Arabidopsis thaliana: one gene and its partner. The protein of the gene in region 1 purifies or fractionates together with the protein of each later gene. This does not show direct contact. Each region holds a gene or a part of one and is shown on either strand. Other genes may lie near its edges.

The links. The genes of interacting proteins can lie anywhere in the genome.
Region 2: the proteins of AT4G22350 (region 1) and ABH1 fractionate together in Arabidopsis thaliana (co-fractionation; one large-scale study listed by BioGRID). This does not show direct contact.

Annotation. Positions count from the first base shown.
Region 1 is NC_003075.7:11,802,563-11,810,569, reverse strand, and holds AT4G22350 (Ubiquitin C-terminal hydrolases superfamily protein), read left to right. Parts: upstream 1-3,152; 5' UTR 3,153-3,630; coding exon 3,631-3,984; intron 3,985-4,121; coding exon 4,122-4,366; intron 4,367-4,643; coding exon 4,644-4,728; intron 4,729-4,801; coding exon 4,802-4,987; intron 4,988-5,080; coding exon 5,081-5,248; intron 5,249-5,342; coding exon 5,343-5,480; coding exon of another isoform or gene 5,481-5,504; exon of another isoform or gene 5,505-5,849; coding exon 5,850-6,021; intron 6,022-6,114; coding exon 6,115-6,289; exon of another isoform or gene 6,290-6,400; coding exon 6,401-6,497; 3' UTR 6,498-6,739; downstream 6,740-8,007. Other genes in the region: AT4G22370 (uncharacterized protein), read left to right, coding at 1-26, 111-162, 249-401; AT4G22360 (SWIB complex BAF60b domain-containing protein), read right to left, coding at 910-1,032, 1,243-1,445, 1,534-1,705, 1,795-1,906, 2,212-2,759; CDS2 (cytidinediphosphate diacylglycerol synthase 2), read left to right, coding at 7,949-8,007.
Region 2 is NC_003071.7:5,634,039-5,643,959, forward strand, and holds ABH1 (ARM repeat superfamily protein), read left to right. Parts: upstream 1-2,845; 5' UTR 2,846-3,014; coding exon 3,015-3,098; intron 3,099-3,182; coding exon 3,183-3,242; intron 3,243-3,341; coding exon 3,342-3,398; intron 3,399-3,883; coding exon 3,884-3,955; intron 3,956-4,063; coding exon 4,064-4,126; intron 4,127-4,299; coding exon 4,300-4,476; intron 4,477-4,660; coding exon 4,661-4,789; intron 4,790-5,012; coding exon 5,013-5,079; intron 5,080-5,258; coding exon 5,259-5,458; intron 5,459-5,673; coding exon 5,674-5,744; intron 5,745-6,206; coding exon 6,207-6,291; intron 6,292-6,437; coding exon 6,438-6,506; intron 6,507-6,597; coding exon 6,598-6,716; intron 6,717-7,023; coding exon 7,024-7,162; intron 7,163-7,363; coding exon 7,364-7,864; intron 7,865-7,954; coding exon 7,955-8,254; intron 8,255-8,338; coding exon 8,339-8,584; intron 8,585-8,667; coding exon 8,668-8,775; 3' UTR 8,776-9,028; downstream 9,029-9,921. Other genes in the region: AT2G13542 (defensin-like protein), read right to left, coding at 9,131-9,300, 9,517-9,577. UniProt on the Arabidopsis thaliana protein: Component of the cap-binding complex (CBC), which binds cotranscriptionally to the 5'-cap of pre-mRNAs and is involved in various processes such as pre-mRNA splicing and RNA-mediated gene silencing (RNAi) by microRNAs (miRNAs).

The DNA.
Region 1 (8,007 bases):
ATGTACCAGGGAAAGCTATTGATAAAGTCAGTATTCGTTCCACTCTAAATTCAGTTATCATAACAATTATAACCCGTGAATCATGACCATATTTAAACCAAACAATGCAGGAATGTGGAGATGTTCATGGAACCAATTTTCCACATAGAGCACCTAAGACTAGTGAGTCTGTCATGTTCATAAGATTTATGTCATCATGTGATTCACTTACTTACCTATTGTGGTTTCTCATTTGTCTTCTGATGCAGAGAACTATGGCGTTTGCAGTGAGTATTGCTGAGAAGATAGTCACTTTCTTGAGACAAGCAGAAAACACAAGGAGACAAGCAATGGCACTCCTGCTACTTGTTCTTCTGCTGCTTGCTGCAGCCGCTTTCTACGTCACACGTCTGAGATTCTGATAAAAACACAGCAAATAACATGGAAGATAGCAGGAAAAAAAACCATAGCATAGGGAATAAGATTTTTCTATCAGTAGGATGCAAATATTTCCAACAGGGAAAACATAGTTAAACACATGAGTTTTTTTTTCCTAAGACATTCATGGGTGAATGGCGTTTAATACAAAACATCTGCGCCGTTTCACCCTTAACACTAGAGTTTCGGTACAATACTAAATACAACATCAACCTAAGCATGTCGATACACAACCAACTAAAACAAAGAACCCAACGGAAGATTAAAATAGCATTAAAGGAAGTTAAAAGTGAAAAGGATCTTTTCTTCCCTATCAGAGTTCTACAGCAAGGAGTCATAAGTAGGTTCCCTAGATACACACCTGCAAGAGAGTTGTGATACAGAAGTCAATTACCATATTTGGACAATGCTGATATATAAGTATCATAATCTGTTAAATCAAACTTCACTTACACTAGTAGTTCCTAGTTAATTAAGTCAGACCAGAAGATATCACGACTGCTTGTACATATGGCGCCTCAGCATCTCATTTATCCCCACAGCTGAAATGCTTTCACATCCAAGAAGATCTCGGAGCTTTTCATCACACTGAATAGCCATTGGATTTACTGGGTCCTGAAAGAAAATTGAAAAGCAGAATAAACAAATCTTAATTTTCTTGTTTATGGCCATTCACTATGCTCTATAACATAAAGTTATGTGAAATCCTATACTGTAAATTATCTTATAGAGTAAACCACAATACCAGCTTTAGTTAGCAGCAAACAGGAAAAAAATTCGAAGCAATAAGGAGAAACCAGAGGATTTCAAGATTAAAATCATTACCTCTAAATTGTTGAGTTTTATGTATTCCCAAACACGGCGAATAATCTCTTCGTCTGCCATCTCCGTCTCACCAGTGCCAAAGAACTTACCAAGTGGCTCAGATAATGTAACAGTTGAACTAATAGCAGTTGAACTAATAGGCTCGGTGGTCTCAGTCTTAGTCTCCACCTCAGTTTTTGCCTTTTTTGCTTGACCAGAGTCCTCTGCCAAAAGTGACTCAAACAGTCAGTAACCTTGAACAAACCAAGCACAGTTGGAACTCAGCAAAAAACGCTTGTGTTTAACCATTACTTGATGGATCAAGCGGGAGAATATGCTTAGCAAGCAACTTATTCATCTTGAACATGTCAGTGCAATCAGTCTCAAAAACCACACGCAACGCATCATCACAGATGATCTTCCGCTTGTTACTCGGGTCTTGAAGGTTATTCTTCCTTATATAAGCCCACAATTGCCTCACAATCTAAAACCAAAAGCCAAACACAGCAACACATAAATAACAACCACAATTGCTTATACACATTATAATCATAAATGAAAGACAATGATAACCTCAGTTCTAGGAAGAGCAGGTTCACCAACAACTACTTCAAGTTCTGGAGAAACCCTACAGACTTTGTTTAGTCCTCCAGGACCACCCTTTCTTTTAGTTCCAGCCGGAGCACTGCAAAGGAAAAGTTGACAAATTTCGTTGATGTGCCAAATTTAGGTAGATCAGAAAGAAATAATCACACTATAATAGAACGTTGTATGAATCAATGTGCTAAAAATATCACAGGATGATAATTCTAAACATGAGCATGTAAAACCTAAAAACCCGTAAATGAACAAAATTGACAAAAGATTTAGACATTCCTAAAATGGAAAATCATGTTTTCCATGAAAGTAGCAAAAGCCCTAAATTACTGAAATTGGAACAACCTTGAGCAAAATTACGTACCAACATTTGAAATATGTTGCAAACCCTACCTTTCTTTTGGGGCTTGATTAACAGATAGAGAAGCATTCCCGCCATGTGAGAGCATCACAGAGGATTGTTGTTGTCGCGGAGACTGCTGCTGATGCTGGTGCTGTTGCGGCGGCATGTAAACCGGATAAGGCTGCCGGAAATTTAGGTCATAAGAGTGATAAGGAGGCTGAAGAGCGAAATGTGAAGGATATTGTTGTGATTGAGAAGAAACAGAGAATTGCGAAGGATGGCTAAGTGTGAAATGCCCTTTCGCCATCGGAGGAACATTGACGCCGGAATGCAAATTCTGCTGCTGGTGAGAAGACGGCGGAGGAGGAGGGTGAGATTGTTGTACGGATGAAGCGGAGGCGACGGAGGCAGAAGGGTTTTGGTGAGCACGGAGGAGGATATTGATCTGATCTCTGATGAAAGTCGTCTTCTCCGTGAGGTCTAACCCTAACTTAGCTTCAAGCTGCTGAACAATACTGCTTAACGATGTGAGAGAGCTAGGGTCGGATTGTCGAAGCAAAGTCTCGACTCCTTTCGCTAGATCCTGGTCCGACACCATTGTCGAGAGAGAATTTCAAAGCTTTTTTTTTCATACACACAAAAAAAAAAACTTTTTAAGGAGAAAAAAAAAAACAAATACCCCACAAAAGAAAAAGAAAAAAAGACAACAAATTCTCTATATCTTTCTCTCTCTTATCCTCTTCTCTAATCTTGTCTCTTTCTCTCTCTCCTTCTTCGTCTCTGTCTCTTTATAACTATTTGGAAAGACGAATATGCCCTTCAGGGTTGGTTAGATTTATCAAATGATGACAAATGTCGGTGTTGCCCTTATGAGTCATGGTATCTATGGCTTGTAGGTAGAGGGTGTTGTCGTATTTTGGCTAATCTATTTGCTTTTTTACTTCTTCGCCAGCTGGCTTTAACTTCAGAACTCATCTCTTTACTCGTGGAATGTCGAATACGTCCTTGTAGATTTTCACGCGTTTATAGTTTGCTTCGAGAAGCTTGAGGGTATTAATGGTTATTCGATAAGTATCGGATCGTGAATACAGATCAATTACTGAATACTGCTGACAGAAGTAATATAAATGGAACAGATTGTTATTGGGCTATAACAGTGTGGCCCAATAATAAATATTCGGCCTTTTAACCGAGTTAATCAATCTGGGTGAGACTTGAGTCGGCTCTTGAAGCTTTAATAGGTTGTTTGTTTAACGTCTGCGTTGTGGCGGATTTTGAAGTTTCTCGAGAAAATTGGGAACGAGAGATAAGTTCGAGTAGATTCGCGACTGTCGACGCTTCTGATTTGAAGTATTTGGCGTTTTTTGGAAGAGTTCATTGCTTCTTTGGTTGAGGATTCTTCGTGAATCGCTGGGATTTTGTGTTCTAAGGTTTTTGAAGCAAGCTTTAGCTTAGGGAAAATTTTGAGAATGAAAGGTGAAAGAGAAGTGAAGAATGGTGTTTCTGAGGAAGAGAGAGAGGTGAAGAGGAAGAGAGTGATGGAACGGTCTGATTCGCCACCTCCACCACTAGGTTTCAACAATCCTCTTTTGCCGTTTGCTAATGCTTACGATGATGATAATAACCAGCAGAATAAATCGCAAACTCGTTGTAATGTAGTTGCGAAAGGAGAGGGAAATGGTAACAAAGTGAAAGGAGAAGCTCAAGTAGAGGTCGATGACGACGAAGATGATGATGATGATGCTTCGAAGGGGAGAGGAAAGCATTCACGCCATGTTGAAGTTCGTCGTGATTGTCCTTATCTTGATACTGTTAATCGTCAGGTATATCATTGACCAATTTCTTGTGTTTGGTACTTGTAATGTATCTAATCTATGGTGGATCTTTAAGCTTCTGCTAGGTTCATTATATTGCTGGTTTGAGATTAGCGTTTAAACTCATATCTTATGGTTGATTTCAGGTGTTGGATTTTGATTTCGAGAGGTTTTGCTCTGTCTCATTGTCAAATCTGAATGTGTATGCGTGTCTTGTTTGTGGGAAGTACTTTCAAGGAAGAAGCCAGAAGTCTCATGCTTATACACATAGCTTGGAAGCAGGACACCACGTTTACATCAATCTTCTGACAGAGAAGGTTTATTGTCTTCCTGATAGTTACGAGATCAATGACCCTTCTTTGGATGACATTCGCCATGTTTTAAACCCAAGGTATATTAGATCTTGTGACTAACTACATCATAGTTCTTACTGCATTTTGGGTATTGATTTGTGAACATGTGAGCCTTTGCACGTAGTTAACAACAACAAAATTGCTTTGACTATTATCTCAATCAGTTTCTTCTTACTAGTTCTCTGTATCATCTACCATCTATTTATATTTTTTTGCATGATAGCTTGAACATATTACTCTTCTTTCATGTTTTGTCAATTTTTCTTTGATTTTTCAGTTCCTTTGTATGAAGGCTTCGGTGCTATCCATTTACAGGTTTAGTAGAGCACAAGTAAACGAGCTTGACAAGAATAGGCAGTGGTCTAGGGCTCTTGATGGCTCCGACTATCTTCCAGGAATGGTAATCCTTTCTCTTTGATTACACTTGATCTTGAAATTAATGTCTCCTAAAGGTTAAGCTTGTAAATATGTAGGTGGGGTTGAACAACATACAAAAGACAGAGTTTGTGAATGTTACAATCCAGTCGTTGATGAGAGTTACTCCTCTAAGGAATTTCTTCCTCATTCCTGAAAATTATCAGCACTGCAAGTCTCCTCTTGGTCACCGTTTTGGGGAACTAACTCGCAAGATTTGGCATGCTCGAAACTTTAAAGGACAAGTCTGACTCAATTTATGCCTCTCACTTTTTTAGTTTTTGTTATGCACTCACCTATTGAGGACCTCGCTAATTTAAGTTACCTTGCATCAACAGGTGAGTCCACATGAGTTCTTGCAAGCTGTCATGAAAGCCAGCAAGAAACGCTTTAGGATTGGCCAACAATCAGATCCAGTAGAGTTTATGTCGTGGCTCCTCAACACTTTGCACATGGATCTTAGAACTTCAAAGGACGCTAGCAGTATCATCCACAAGTGCTTCCAGGTATGTGTCCGTCCTTTGAAATGTCAACATAATGCAGTTTGATATAATTTCTTACAAAAAAGCTGTATCTCATGTAACCTGTTAACCATTACAGGGTGAGTTGGAGGTTGTGAAAGAGTATCAAGGCAATGAAAACAAAGAAATCTCCAGGATGCCGTTTCTGATGCTTGGGCTAGATTTGCCACCGCCTCCTCTTTTCAAAGATGTCATGGAGAAAAACATTATTCCGCAGGTATATGGCTATTTCAAATCTTGAAAGTCTTGCTACTTTGTGCCATTAAAAAAATGCATTTCAGAAAAATGATAACGTGGAGTGCTAGAAAACTTATGATTCTCAATATACAGCTACATAAATAATGTCACATTTGGTTGAGATACAATTAAGGGATTCTTAAATAGTGCCATTGCCAATTTAATGTCCTGGAGTAAACTTTCTTTTTCGAATCTAGTTCATGACTTGCGAAAGTGTAGAATTCTCTGACTCATTGGTTGTTTGGAGCTCCTGTAGCCTTTATGGCTTGCTACCTCGTATATGCGTCTTAGAGTGTTTAGTTTGCAAAGTGAGGTTAGTGGAATCTAATTTCTTTGATTTTTGGGTCAGGTTGCTCTATTCGATTTATTGAAGAAGTTTGATGGAGAAACGGTGACAGAGGTGGTTCGGCCTAAGCTGGCCAGAATGAGATACCGTGTAATCAAATCTCCTCGTTACTTGATGTTCCATATGGTTCGGTTCAAGAAGAATAACTTCTTCAAAGAGAAGAACCCTACATTGGGTGAGTCTGTTTGAAATTTTTGTGACGTTAATGCTGTATAAGGATCCCCTAATACCTGGTTAATTTGATACAATTTCTTTTTCTATGCCACAGTTAACTTCCCAGTGAAGGACATGGAGCTGAGGGATTACATACCATCATTGCCTAGAGCACCAGAAGGGGAGAATGTGTGTTCAAAGTATAATCTAATCGCTAACATTGTACATGATGGTAAGCCTGAGGACGGGTACTTCAGAGTCTTTGTGCAGCGCAAGTCACAAGAACTATGGTAAGCTTTCTCAATCATTAACTATTATTGTGTTTCATGTTCACAAATGCATGATCTAGATCTGTGCATAAGAAAGATATAAATTCATTTGGGGGATAATGTCCATTGCAGGTACGAGATGCAGGATCTTCATGTTGCAGAGACACTTCCCCAGATGGTAGAACTATCGGAAGCATACATGCAGATATATGAGCAGCAGGAAGAATAGAGCCCTGGAAAGAAACTGACTTCATTTGGTTTAAGAGTAAAAGTGACCAGTTTTATCTTGGAATGAGATTAGAGATTTGTTTCACAACTCTTTTGGAAAAAGATTTTTGGACCCCTTTAAAGGATAGAGAGCCTGTTGTATCATAGTGAAAAACCTTTGGTAAAAAAACACATATATGAGTTTTGGGAAGAGCTTTTGGTAAAAACTAAAAACGCATATTGAAAGAAAGCGACCTCTTCAAATTCTCAAACTTTTGAAATTTTGTAGTAAAAAACACATGTGAGTTCCCTTAATATAGAAGTGGCTGTTTTTCGAATTTATTTGTAACAATGAAAGAGGAATAGAATCTAATTCACTATCTCTACTTTTGGCGATTCTATTCTATTCCATCGTCCAAAAAAAGAATTGATTCTTTTTTTGTTTTCATTAACCAATTCTGGAAGATTATGAGCATTGAACATAACAAGGTAACAATTTGCAACTTTGTAGAAAAGAGTTCATAATATTCTCGAATTTTTAATTGTCATTTCAAGTTAATATAGAGGAGGACCTTTACCTTTAATTAAAATATTATATCCCTTTATTAATTGTGGCTTCTAGAATCAAAAGTTAAAAGATTCGAGAAATAAGGAGAATCATTTTCGTCTTCTACTTAGTTTTCTTCAACTCGATTTCTCTGCTCCATCTTCTTCCTCGTCTTCTCATTCTCTCTCGCTCTGGCACAGTAGAAACTGAGCTCACGAAAGCAGGTTTCACGTCTCTTCCTTATTTACCTCATTCCTGAATCATATGTACATAGTTTTGTTTAGATATGTGTTTCGTCTCCTCAATCCTCAGATCTCCACGAGAAACTAGTATTGGTTCCTCTTTGTTATTCTCCTTAGCTCGTGTGATTACTGACACCATTAGTGAAGATTTCCAGTATTTCCATAAGTATTTCGGCTGCTTAAATTTGGGTTTTATTCCCGATTTTACTCGTATTTGTCCCATTTTTCCTGTTTAATTGTATTTCTCTGTGAATCACTTATGTTCATTGCTTTAGATTCAATAAAATTTTGAGTGAAAAATCCTACTGAGAGCGTTTACTTATGGGGAATTTATCAAGTTCAAGTTTGAATTGTTGTATATTGAGTGTTATTAAAGAGTTTCAATGAATCAATTGGATGGTTTTTTGTTTGGGTTGCTCAACTACCTATGAGAGTACAAGCTTCAAATTGTTTAGAATGCTGGTGATTTTGTTTCCGTGTTTTAATAAAAGCATTTATTGGTGAGAGAGTTTGGAGTACATGTTATTGATATAAGTACATGTCATTGATTGATTCAGATGAGTTTTCTACTTATATTTGCAAATTGATTCTAAATTTACTCGACTTTTTTTTTGGCTTATCAATGATTTTTAGTTGCCAGAGTCTTTCTATCTTTTTTTTGTATTCTGACGTTAGACTAAGGTGATGCTAGATGTACTCAAGTTCAATTTTAAATTTTCACAGGTAGTCAGTGTTTTTGTTTC
Region 2 (9,921 bases), on another chromosome or scaffold:
TCCATCTAGTCCTAGAGCACTTTCACAATTAATAGAAAACACTGCATTATACACTTCCAATTCTGTGACATCTTGAGTTAATTGTTGATTCATATCCAATGAAACCTTTGCTTGAAAACCATTCAAAAAATTATCCTGGCCTATTGGATAAGAAGATGAAAAAAGATGCTGAAAGAACGAAGAAGCAATTTTCCCTTTCTCACTAATCCTGGTGTGTTCTTGTCCATTTTCATCCAGAAGGAAGCTCAAAGAGTTCCCTAATCTAGAAGATTTCAAAGAAGCATGAAAAAACCAATGTTTTTATCTTCAGCAAACAGCCATTTTTGACTACTTTTCTGTCTCCAAAAGAGTTCATCATCCTCATCAGCAAGACCCAATTGATCTTTAATATATGCAATTCTAGGCCAATTTGGAAACTCATAACTTTTCAGCAAATCCAAATCTTTCCTCAATCTTTGAATCCTACTCTAAGCATTAGTATCAGCTGATTTTTTTCCATACACTAATAGCTCTTCGACATTCAATAAGACTAAAGATAGAGGAGTGAGAACCTTGAGACATTGCATTGGTCCAAGAGTTGGAAATCACTTGAATACAAGAAGGATCATCAGCTATTCTTTTGTCATAACAAAACTGTCCACGAAACAACTCGTTATCATTAATAAACTTGACTAAAACAGGACGATGGTCAGATCCAAATCTCTCAGAAACCACTGGTGAGAATTTGGAAACAAAGAAAACCAAGAGGAATTCCCAAAGCATCTATCCAATCTACACTGAATCCATTGACCATTTCTAGTCCCTCCCCAAGTAAAGCCATTGCTTGTACTACCTAGTTCATGCATATCACAAGTATTCAACATGTCTTGAAAAGATTGAAACGAAGAAGGTACTCTTCTCGGACCCCTCTCTTTCCCGTTTTCGACTTAATATCATTGAAGTCACCTATCATACACCAAGCTTGCTTCCGATGTGATCCAAGACTACACAACTTATCCCAAACCTAAGGCCTAAGATATGTCACCAGATGCCCATAAACACAAGAAACAAAGCATACTTTATTTCTAGAAGAACACTGAAGATCCAAAAGATGTTTATCATCAAAAAGAATCTCAATGTCCAAATGGCTTTTCCAAAAGATTGCTAAGCCACCACTTCTCCCTTGAGGTTCTATTGTATACATATAGTTATAACCAAGCCAATCAATAACTTTTGAAACAAACTCGTCAGGATTCATAGTCTCCATGAAGAATAAAATGTCCGAGATATGATTTTTTTTCATCTCCTTAAGGTGTCGAATTGTCCAAGGATTCCTCAAGCCTTGACAATTCCAACTAAGGACGCCTTACTGATCCAACGGTGGTTCACTTGGAACCACCGTATTCTTGTCTCTCTTGAAACTTTGAGCTTCTGTAATGTCTGAGGGTTTTCTTTTCCTTTTGAACACCTTTTCAAAATGAGGAGAGGCAGGAGACTGAATAACCTTATTCTTCAGAGACAGCTCATTAACTAGTTTTTCTTTCCTGAACTGAAAAGGAGTGAAATCCTGCATTATATGATGTTTAAACCCTGAAGTGGAGGAACTAGCCTCACCAACACATGTGGTAAATCCAGTACTAATGTCCAAATCTAGCATCTCAGCTAACAAAGTATTCTCTGGATGACTATCAATTGCAACAGTAGCTGATAGAGGATTTGCTGGCAAAGCATCTACCCTTCCTTTGGGAGCAATTGACTGAAAGGGAAACTCAGCCAGCCTCGGTAAAAACATCTTCTTCTGTTTGCCTTTCTCTTGTAATGATCTCACATCATGTTTGATGGAATCTAAGACTTTGGATGGGCATCTATTTTTATCATGAGTTAATCTTTGACACAAGAAACATCTCTTTCTAATCTGTTCATAGTCAAAAGAAATTGTGACAACTTCACCAGATGGAAGTTGTACCTCTTTATTGTTACGAAGTGGATTGGCGACATGAAACAAAACCCGAACACGAACATAGTCCTGAAACTGTGATTTTTCAGAGTCCATCACCACCTCCTTCACTTCCCCAATACAGCTCGTGATCTCTTTAATTGTGTCCTGAGTATAATAGTTCACCGAAATATTCCTCACTCGACCCCAGATTGGAAGAAAATTCAGATAATCAATTGGAGGATTCTCAATCCATCTATCCATGACTACACCCCAATTTATCTTCTGTCCAAACTCCAATTTTCATAATTTCTTCTAAATCTTCCTCAGATTTGAAGAAAAATTGGAATCGATCCTTTGAGAGAGCAACACCTCTAACCCGAGAAGAAATTCTCCAAATTCGTGGCATATCTAATATCCAATTAGACATCCTTTGATTCTCTAGATTCAAAAACCTACCCAACTAACGACAGTTGTTTCTGTTAATTGAACAAAAGCGCGGTTGATCAGAAAGAATCAGAGGCTTATTGTCTTAAATCGACATATTCTGAATGGCTTTATCCAGCTCCATGATGAGATCCTGATAGAGAGTAAACAACTTTCCCGAACTCGTCAAACCTGATTTGCAGGAAACAAACTCCAAGAGAAAAAACAGTGAAGAAATCCGAGTAATTCAGATGATAACCAACACAGAACTGAGAATCACAAAGCAAACTCTCGTAACAGAGAAAGAGTCAGAACTACCAAAAATCCGAGGAAGAAAACAACAATTTAGACCGGACCGAACACGTAAATATTTCTGGTAGAAGCTCCGTTCAGAATAGAACACCTGAGAGAAAAGTCTTTAGGCTCCAAATTAACTGGGACGACTATTGTTTTAACGGCTAGTTTCAGCTACTAAGAGAAAGAAGAGAGAGAAAAACTTTTTGTCAAACTCTTTTTGTGAACTCCTTTTCTTAGATGACAACACTTATGAGAAAAAAAAAAAAAAATTAGTTTTGACGAGACACGGACATAAAAAAAAAAACTAGGGCAGAGTGACTGATACCAAAGGAGAAACAACAAAGAGACGAACTGAAGAAAAACCTCTCGGAAGAAGATGAGCAATTGGAAAACTCTTCTCCTTCGCATCGGCGAAAAGGGACCTGAGTACGGCACTTCCTCCGACTACAAAGACCACATCGTCAGTATCTCTCTCTCGATTCATCCTCGCTCTTAAACCCTAATTTTCTCACTACTCAAAACTTTTCCGATTCTCTATATACAGGAGACTTGTTTCGGTGTCATTCGTAGAGAAATCGAGCGTTCTGGAGATCAAGTTTTGCCTGTAAGTGACTTCGAGCCTTCAATTTTAGGATCTGTTGTGATGTATCTCTGTGGATATTATTATTGTGTGTTCTCATTATTTTTGTTTTCGTCTTAACAGTTTCTACTACAATGTGCTGAACAATTGCCTCATAAGATTCCTTTGTATGGGACTTTGGTAAGTCTCTTATAAACTAGTTACCTTGGCTTTTTCATTTCTGGGTATGTGTTGGATGTTGGGCTTGCATTTAGATGTGTTATATATGTGGAGGTTTTGATTGAGTATGTTATGGTATCTGTGAACTGATTCTTATCGAAGAATAATTAGCTCGAAGCAATAACGGAAGGCATTTAACTTGAAACAAATGAACACTTCAGAAACACAAATAATAGTGGAAATGCCCTTAAGGTGGATCATTTTGTGTCTATTATATCATATATAACATGTTGTAGGAATCTATTTATTCATAGTATTCATCAATATTTGCTAACTTCTGAGTAATAAAGAATGCTTGAATATTTTCTGTGTATAATTCTTATCTGTGTAAGTAGCATTTGGATCTATTTTTGAACTGAGATACCCTGTTCCCTGTTATAAATTAGTTCGATTTAATCTGATACACATACTTCGAAGTTTGATGGATGTCTTTCCACATGTTTAAGATTGGTTTGTTGAACTTGGAGAATGAAGATTTTGTCCAGAAGCTAGTAGAAAGTGTCCACGCTAATTTCCAGGTGAATAATCTAATCTGTACATCAAAGGCCAAGGATAAATTGATAACATAAGTTTTCTCAGTTACTTTTGTTTCTAATGTGACTGTTTTTCTTGGTCAAACATGCCAGGTCGCTTTAGATTCTGGCAACTGCAACAGTATCCGTATATTGCTTCGCTTTATGACTTCCCTGGTATGGTTGCTAATCATGTTTCATGGTTGCTTCGTCTATTTAATATGTTAGTTCATGTTTCTAATACACAGAAAGCGTCTAAAAAATAAAAGTGCGAAGTATATAGAACAGTATTTGTGAAAATTTTGAGATGTTTTGTCTATTTTCTAACATGTTTTAGTTGGGTTCTTTAGTTGTGCAGTAAGGTTATTCAACCTGCTTCTTTGATTGTCGTCTTCGAAACATTGCTATCATCTGCTGCCACTACTGTGGATGAAGAGAAAGGAAATCCATCATGGCAGCCACAAGCTGACTTTTACGTTATATGCATCTTGTCCAGCCTCCCGTGGGGAGGATCAGAACTCGCTGAGGTACTGCTCTTGGACTAAATACATTCTAGAAATTATTTACATTGAAGGCTATTAGAATACTGGATATGCGTTTCCAATTTTATAATGATGTCATCCTTGTTGGATCTGCAACCAACTTTGTTAGTCTGCTTTCATATCTATTATCTTAACTTGTATGGCCGCTGAATTTCCCTTTGGTTTGCAGCAAGTTCCTGATGAGATTGAAAGAGTGTTAGTTGGGATACAAGCTTATTTGAGCATCCGAAAGAATTCTTCCACCTCTGGGTTAAACTTTTTTCACAACGGAGAATTTGAAAGCAGCCTTGCAGAGAAGGTTTGCCTTTTAGTGTTTAATTCTTGAAGTTGTTGTATTTGCTTTGTGTTAGCTGCCCCTCTGATTTTGTTTCGGTAGATGTCTTGGCAAATGTATAAATAAGATGCATGGATGTGACGTTTCATTTCTGCTTTTGTTTGAGATAGATATCTGTTGAATTTTGTATCATGGTGTGATAACTTTTGGTCTGCGTCATTCGTCTTTCTCATTTGTGTCTCGTTAGGATTTCGTGGAGGATCTATTGGATCGAATTCAGTCTCTGGCTTCCAATGGATGGAAACTTGAAAGCGGTATGCTTATTTTGTCAACTTCTCATATCTCTTTGTATTACAAGATTGCAATCTTCTACGAACCCTCTCTTTTAATATCCTTATCTACCTTGTTTGACTTACAAATTGATCAGTTCATATGACTAGAGATATTAGTTGTATATTACAATTGACAATTTCATGCATATTCAATGTGCTAGTACCTAGGCCTCATCTCTCGTTTGAAGCTCAACTCGTTGCTGGAAAGTTTCATGAGCTACGTCCCATTAAATGTATGGAACAACCGAGTCCACCTTCTGATCATTCGAGGGCATACAGTGGCAAGCAAAAGCATGATGCATTGACGAGATATCCCCAGAGAATTCGTAGGTTGAATATATTTCCAGCTAATAAAATGGAGGTAATATTCTGGTTTTTGATGTCATTGTTTATCTGAATAGGACATATTTCATGCTAATGGAAGCTTATTATACTTGCTACCTTTTCAGTCGTCAACATTTTTCTTTTTTCTAACCTATTATATTTGTAGATTGATATATGGGTTATATGGTGTCCTTTTGTATTCCTTTTCTTTGTCTACCCTTTCTTCTGATTCTGTAACTATCAAACTCGCAGGATGTACAACCAATTGATCGTTTTGTCGTGGAGGAGTATTTGCTGGATGTGCTCTTCTATTTGAATGGATGGTGTGTATTTTCCCAAAGCTTGTGTTCTTTTGACGTTTTTGTATGTTTCTTCTATATTTTTCTTGCACAGTGGTCGTCCATTCATGCTGGTTTTGGTGTAGATCTTGGTTTTTGTCCCCCAACCATAGCAAATTAGTCACGTGTTTTCTAAATTATTAACCTTAGAGTATGGTGTATTAATCTAAGTTCATGACTTACTCTTTGAATAATATGGTCACTGATTCAGCTGGGCGACTAATTGGCTACTACTAAGGGCTAGTGTTTTTGCGTTGAGTATCTAGTTGAACCTAGCATATACTTATTTAAGTCATTATTATGGTTGTAGACTTGCCTAGCATATACATGTTTTCTAATCAACATCTTAGCTTATGCTAAGTCTCTTTCTTTCTGGTTACTAAATTTTGTTTGCCTTCTTAAATTATATAGAATTTTGTTTCACTAATTAATTTATTGCAAAGCTAGTCGGAAGGAGTGTGCATCCTACATGGCTAATCTTCCTGTTACATTTCGGTACGAGTATCTTATGGCAGAGACACTATTTTCTCAGGTAACTTCTGTTGTATAAATTTTGGGATTATCTCTCTAGTGAGTATTCACGTTGTAATATAAAAGCATACGTTTCTGGCAGATTATACCAATTAATTCCAAGATCTGTGATTTTTAAATATAACAATTGTATCTACTGTTTTTCAGATACTGCTGCTACCCCAGCCACCATTCAAGACTCTTTATTATACACTCGTGATTATGGATCTTTGTAAGGTACAAAGGATTATACTGTTCATCCGATGGTTTTTAAATCCCTGCTGTTATTTCTTTTTTCAACCTGATTCCAAATATTCAATTAATTTAGGCTCTTCCGGGTGCCTTTCCTGCTGTTGTTGCTGGCGCTGTTCGTGCACTATTTGAGAAAATATCCGACTTAGACATGGAATCCAGGACGCGTCTTATCCTCTGGTTTTCTCACCACTTGTAAGTATATAATTTCATATTTCTTACCTCTTGATTTTTTGTAATCTGGAAAAGGTGCTTTATTGTCGAATGTTTGGTGAATGTTCCATATATGTTAGAAAGTTACCTAGCTTATAAAATATGGATTATTGAAACATAAAATATGGATTTTCAGTCAGCATTACTGACGATTCGTTTACATGATACAGTGGTCGTGTTTGAGTCTTACTTTCTCGATTAATTGAGAAATATGTTATTCATCACATGAAGTTGATTACGTATTTCGTTTTGCTCTCTACTCTCATGTTGATAACTCCATGCTTAACAGATCCAACTTCCAATTCATCTGGCCGTGGGAAGAGTGGGCTTTTGTGTTGGATCTTCCCAAGTGGGCCCCTAAGCGTGTATTTGTTCAGGAGATTTTGCAAAGAGAAGTACGCTTGTCTTACTGGGATAAAATTAAGCAGGTAACAGATCGTCAGATATCCTAATAGCTGCCAAACTTAAGCATCAGATATACTTTTCTCTTAGCCTAGGGTTATTTGTCTTATTCCATTTTGTGGGGGATCAATGTTTCATCTTGTTATCCACATGGATATATCATTCCAAACTTAAGCATCAGATATCCTTCCTCAGGCTATATTGTTTTTTCTATGTGTGTCTAACAGAGCATTGAGAATGCGACTGCCCTAGAAGAATTACTTCCTCCAAAAGCTGGTCCGAATTTTATGTATTCCTTGGAAGAAGGTAAAGAGAAAACAGAAGAACAGCAATTGTCAGCCGAATTGAGCAGGAAGGTCAAGGAAAAACAAACCGCACGTGACATGATAGTGTGGATTGAAGAAACGATATATCCAGTTCATGGTTTTGAAGTTACTCTTACAATAGTTGTACAGACCTTACTTGACATCGGATCAAAAAGTTTCACTCATTTGGTCACTGTCCTGGAGCGATATGGCCAAGTATTTTCAAAGCTTTGTCCTGATAACGATAAGCAGGTGATGCTATTATCTCAAGTGAGTACATACTGGAAAAACAATGTACAAATGACGGCGGTGGCAATTGATAGGATGATGGGTTATAGACTAGTATCTAATCAGGCAATTGTTAGATGGGTGTTCTCTCCAGAAAATGTTGATCAGTTTCATGTGTCTGATCAGCCATGGGAGGTCAGTTGCGTTTTAACAGAAGTATATTTATTTTCTACACTCTGCAGAGCAAGTTTGTTTATCTTCGTAAATCTGTTTCTGTCTCTGCAGATACTTGGCAATGCTCTTAACAAGACTTATAACCGTATCTCTGATTTGAGGAAAGATATATCAAACATTACGAAAAATGTTTTGGTTGCTGAGAAAGCTTCAGCCAATGCACGAGTAGAGTTGGAGGCTGCTGAGAGCAAACTTTCCCTAGTGGAAGGTGAACCCGTTCTTGGTGAGAATCCAGCGAAGATGAAGCGTTTAAAATCAACAGTGGAGAAGACAGGGGAAGCGGAGTTATCTCTTCGGGAGTCCCTAGAGGCAAAAGAGGCTCTTCTTAACAGAGCTCTCTCTGAGACCGAGGTATTATATATTAGTTTAATGCAGCACATGATCTTATTATTTCCTTTTATCTACTAAAAGCTAATTGAGTTGACTTGTGCATAGGTTTTACTGCTCTTGCTGTTCCAAAGTTTCTTAGGTGTACTGAAGGAACGGCTCCCAGATCCAACTAAAGTGAGATCAGTGCAGGATCTAAAATCTATAGGTGCTGAAGATGACAAGCCATCTGCGATGGACGTGGACAGCGAGAATGGAAACCCAAAGAAGAGTTGCGAAGTCGGTGAGAGAGAACAGTGGTGCTTATCAACACTTGGCTATCTCACGGCATTTACAAGGCAATATGCGAGCGAGGTAAAAAATAACTTAATAGTTGGGATGTTGTTGTAAGAGCTTTAGTAGATTGAATATTGACTTGTTTCACCATGTTCTTGTAGATATGGCCTCACATGGAGAAGTTGGAGTCAGAAGTGTTCTCGGGTGAAGATGTGCATCCTCTCTTTCTCCAAGCCATATCTTCTGCACTTCAATTCCCATTACATTAATCTTCCTCTTTCAATCTCAATCAAACCTGTCTCTTTTGTTTTTTGTTATGAGATTCTGATTCTGACATCAAGTTATTAGGAAATTGAAAAGAGTCAAAAAACAAGAGTTTAAACTTTTAACACCAGTCTTGTTTCTGGAGCTCGTTTCTCAGAGTGGCCTACGCAAATATCGAAAGCATTTCATTTACCAAAAAGGGAACTGCATGTTCCGATTTGAGCACAATTGAGCAACCGTACTATAAAATTGTCTGCTTATGAGTAACAATATTAATTTATTGTAAGAAATTTATTATACTAAGAAGTTGAAGACAAACATAATGCTCAAGACTCAAGTAGCCGGTTACTACAATGAGTATCAATTTTTGTTATAATAGCAACAACATTCTGGTAATTTTTCACCTTTTTTAACAAAATCACACTGTCCTCCATCATACTTCGCCTTTCTACAGTTTTTGTAACATTGATGATTTCCGTAAAATCTCAAACATGGCCCAATGCAACGATCATATTGTTGGATTTGGATCACTGCAATTTTATAACCCAAGTTATATATATATATATGTGTATGTAAGACATTCCATGAAAACATTTTTCTAATTTCTGAAAAGATAATGTTTAACCATTGCTCTTCAAATGATCAAAAAAACAGTTAACCTCTCTAAATTAATATTCGATAAATTAATAATCTCTGTAAATTGAATAATAAAAACATTCCTTGTGTTGCCAAGATGTTGTAATTACAAACCGAAATTGTCAATATCGCTACAACGAAAATAGTCACATAAGTTTTTGTGACATCCATTATATTCACTTGAGAAAAATAGCCTCTCTTTTAAAAAAAATTCAGATCTTTATGAAAAACTCAATTTATATGATATATATTTGTGGAGAAAAATATCAAATTTGAACTACTCTTTCATTTCTTATTATTACTATAAATGAATGTTTTATATTTGTTAATATAAGGTTGACTAAAATTTAATGTGACTTAACAGTGGGTGATTGGTTAGGCTGTAGCTGTAAATTAATTGTTGTAAGCTTTTAGCTGTAGATGTGTTAGCTGTAGATTTAGTTTTTTTTTGCTGTAAAATTTTGGCAGTAACTTTATAAAGAAAATGAAAAATGATTCGTAATTATTTATTATAT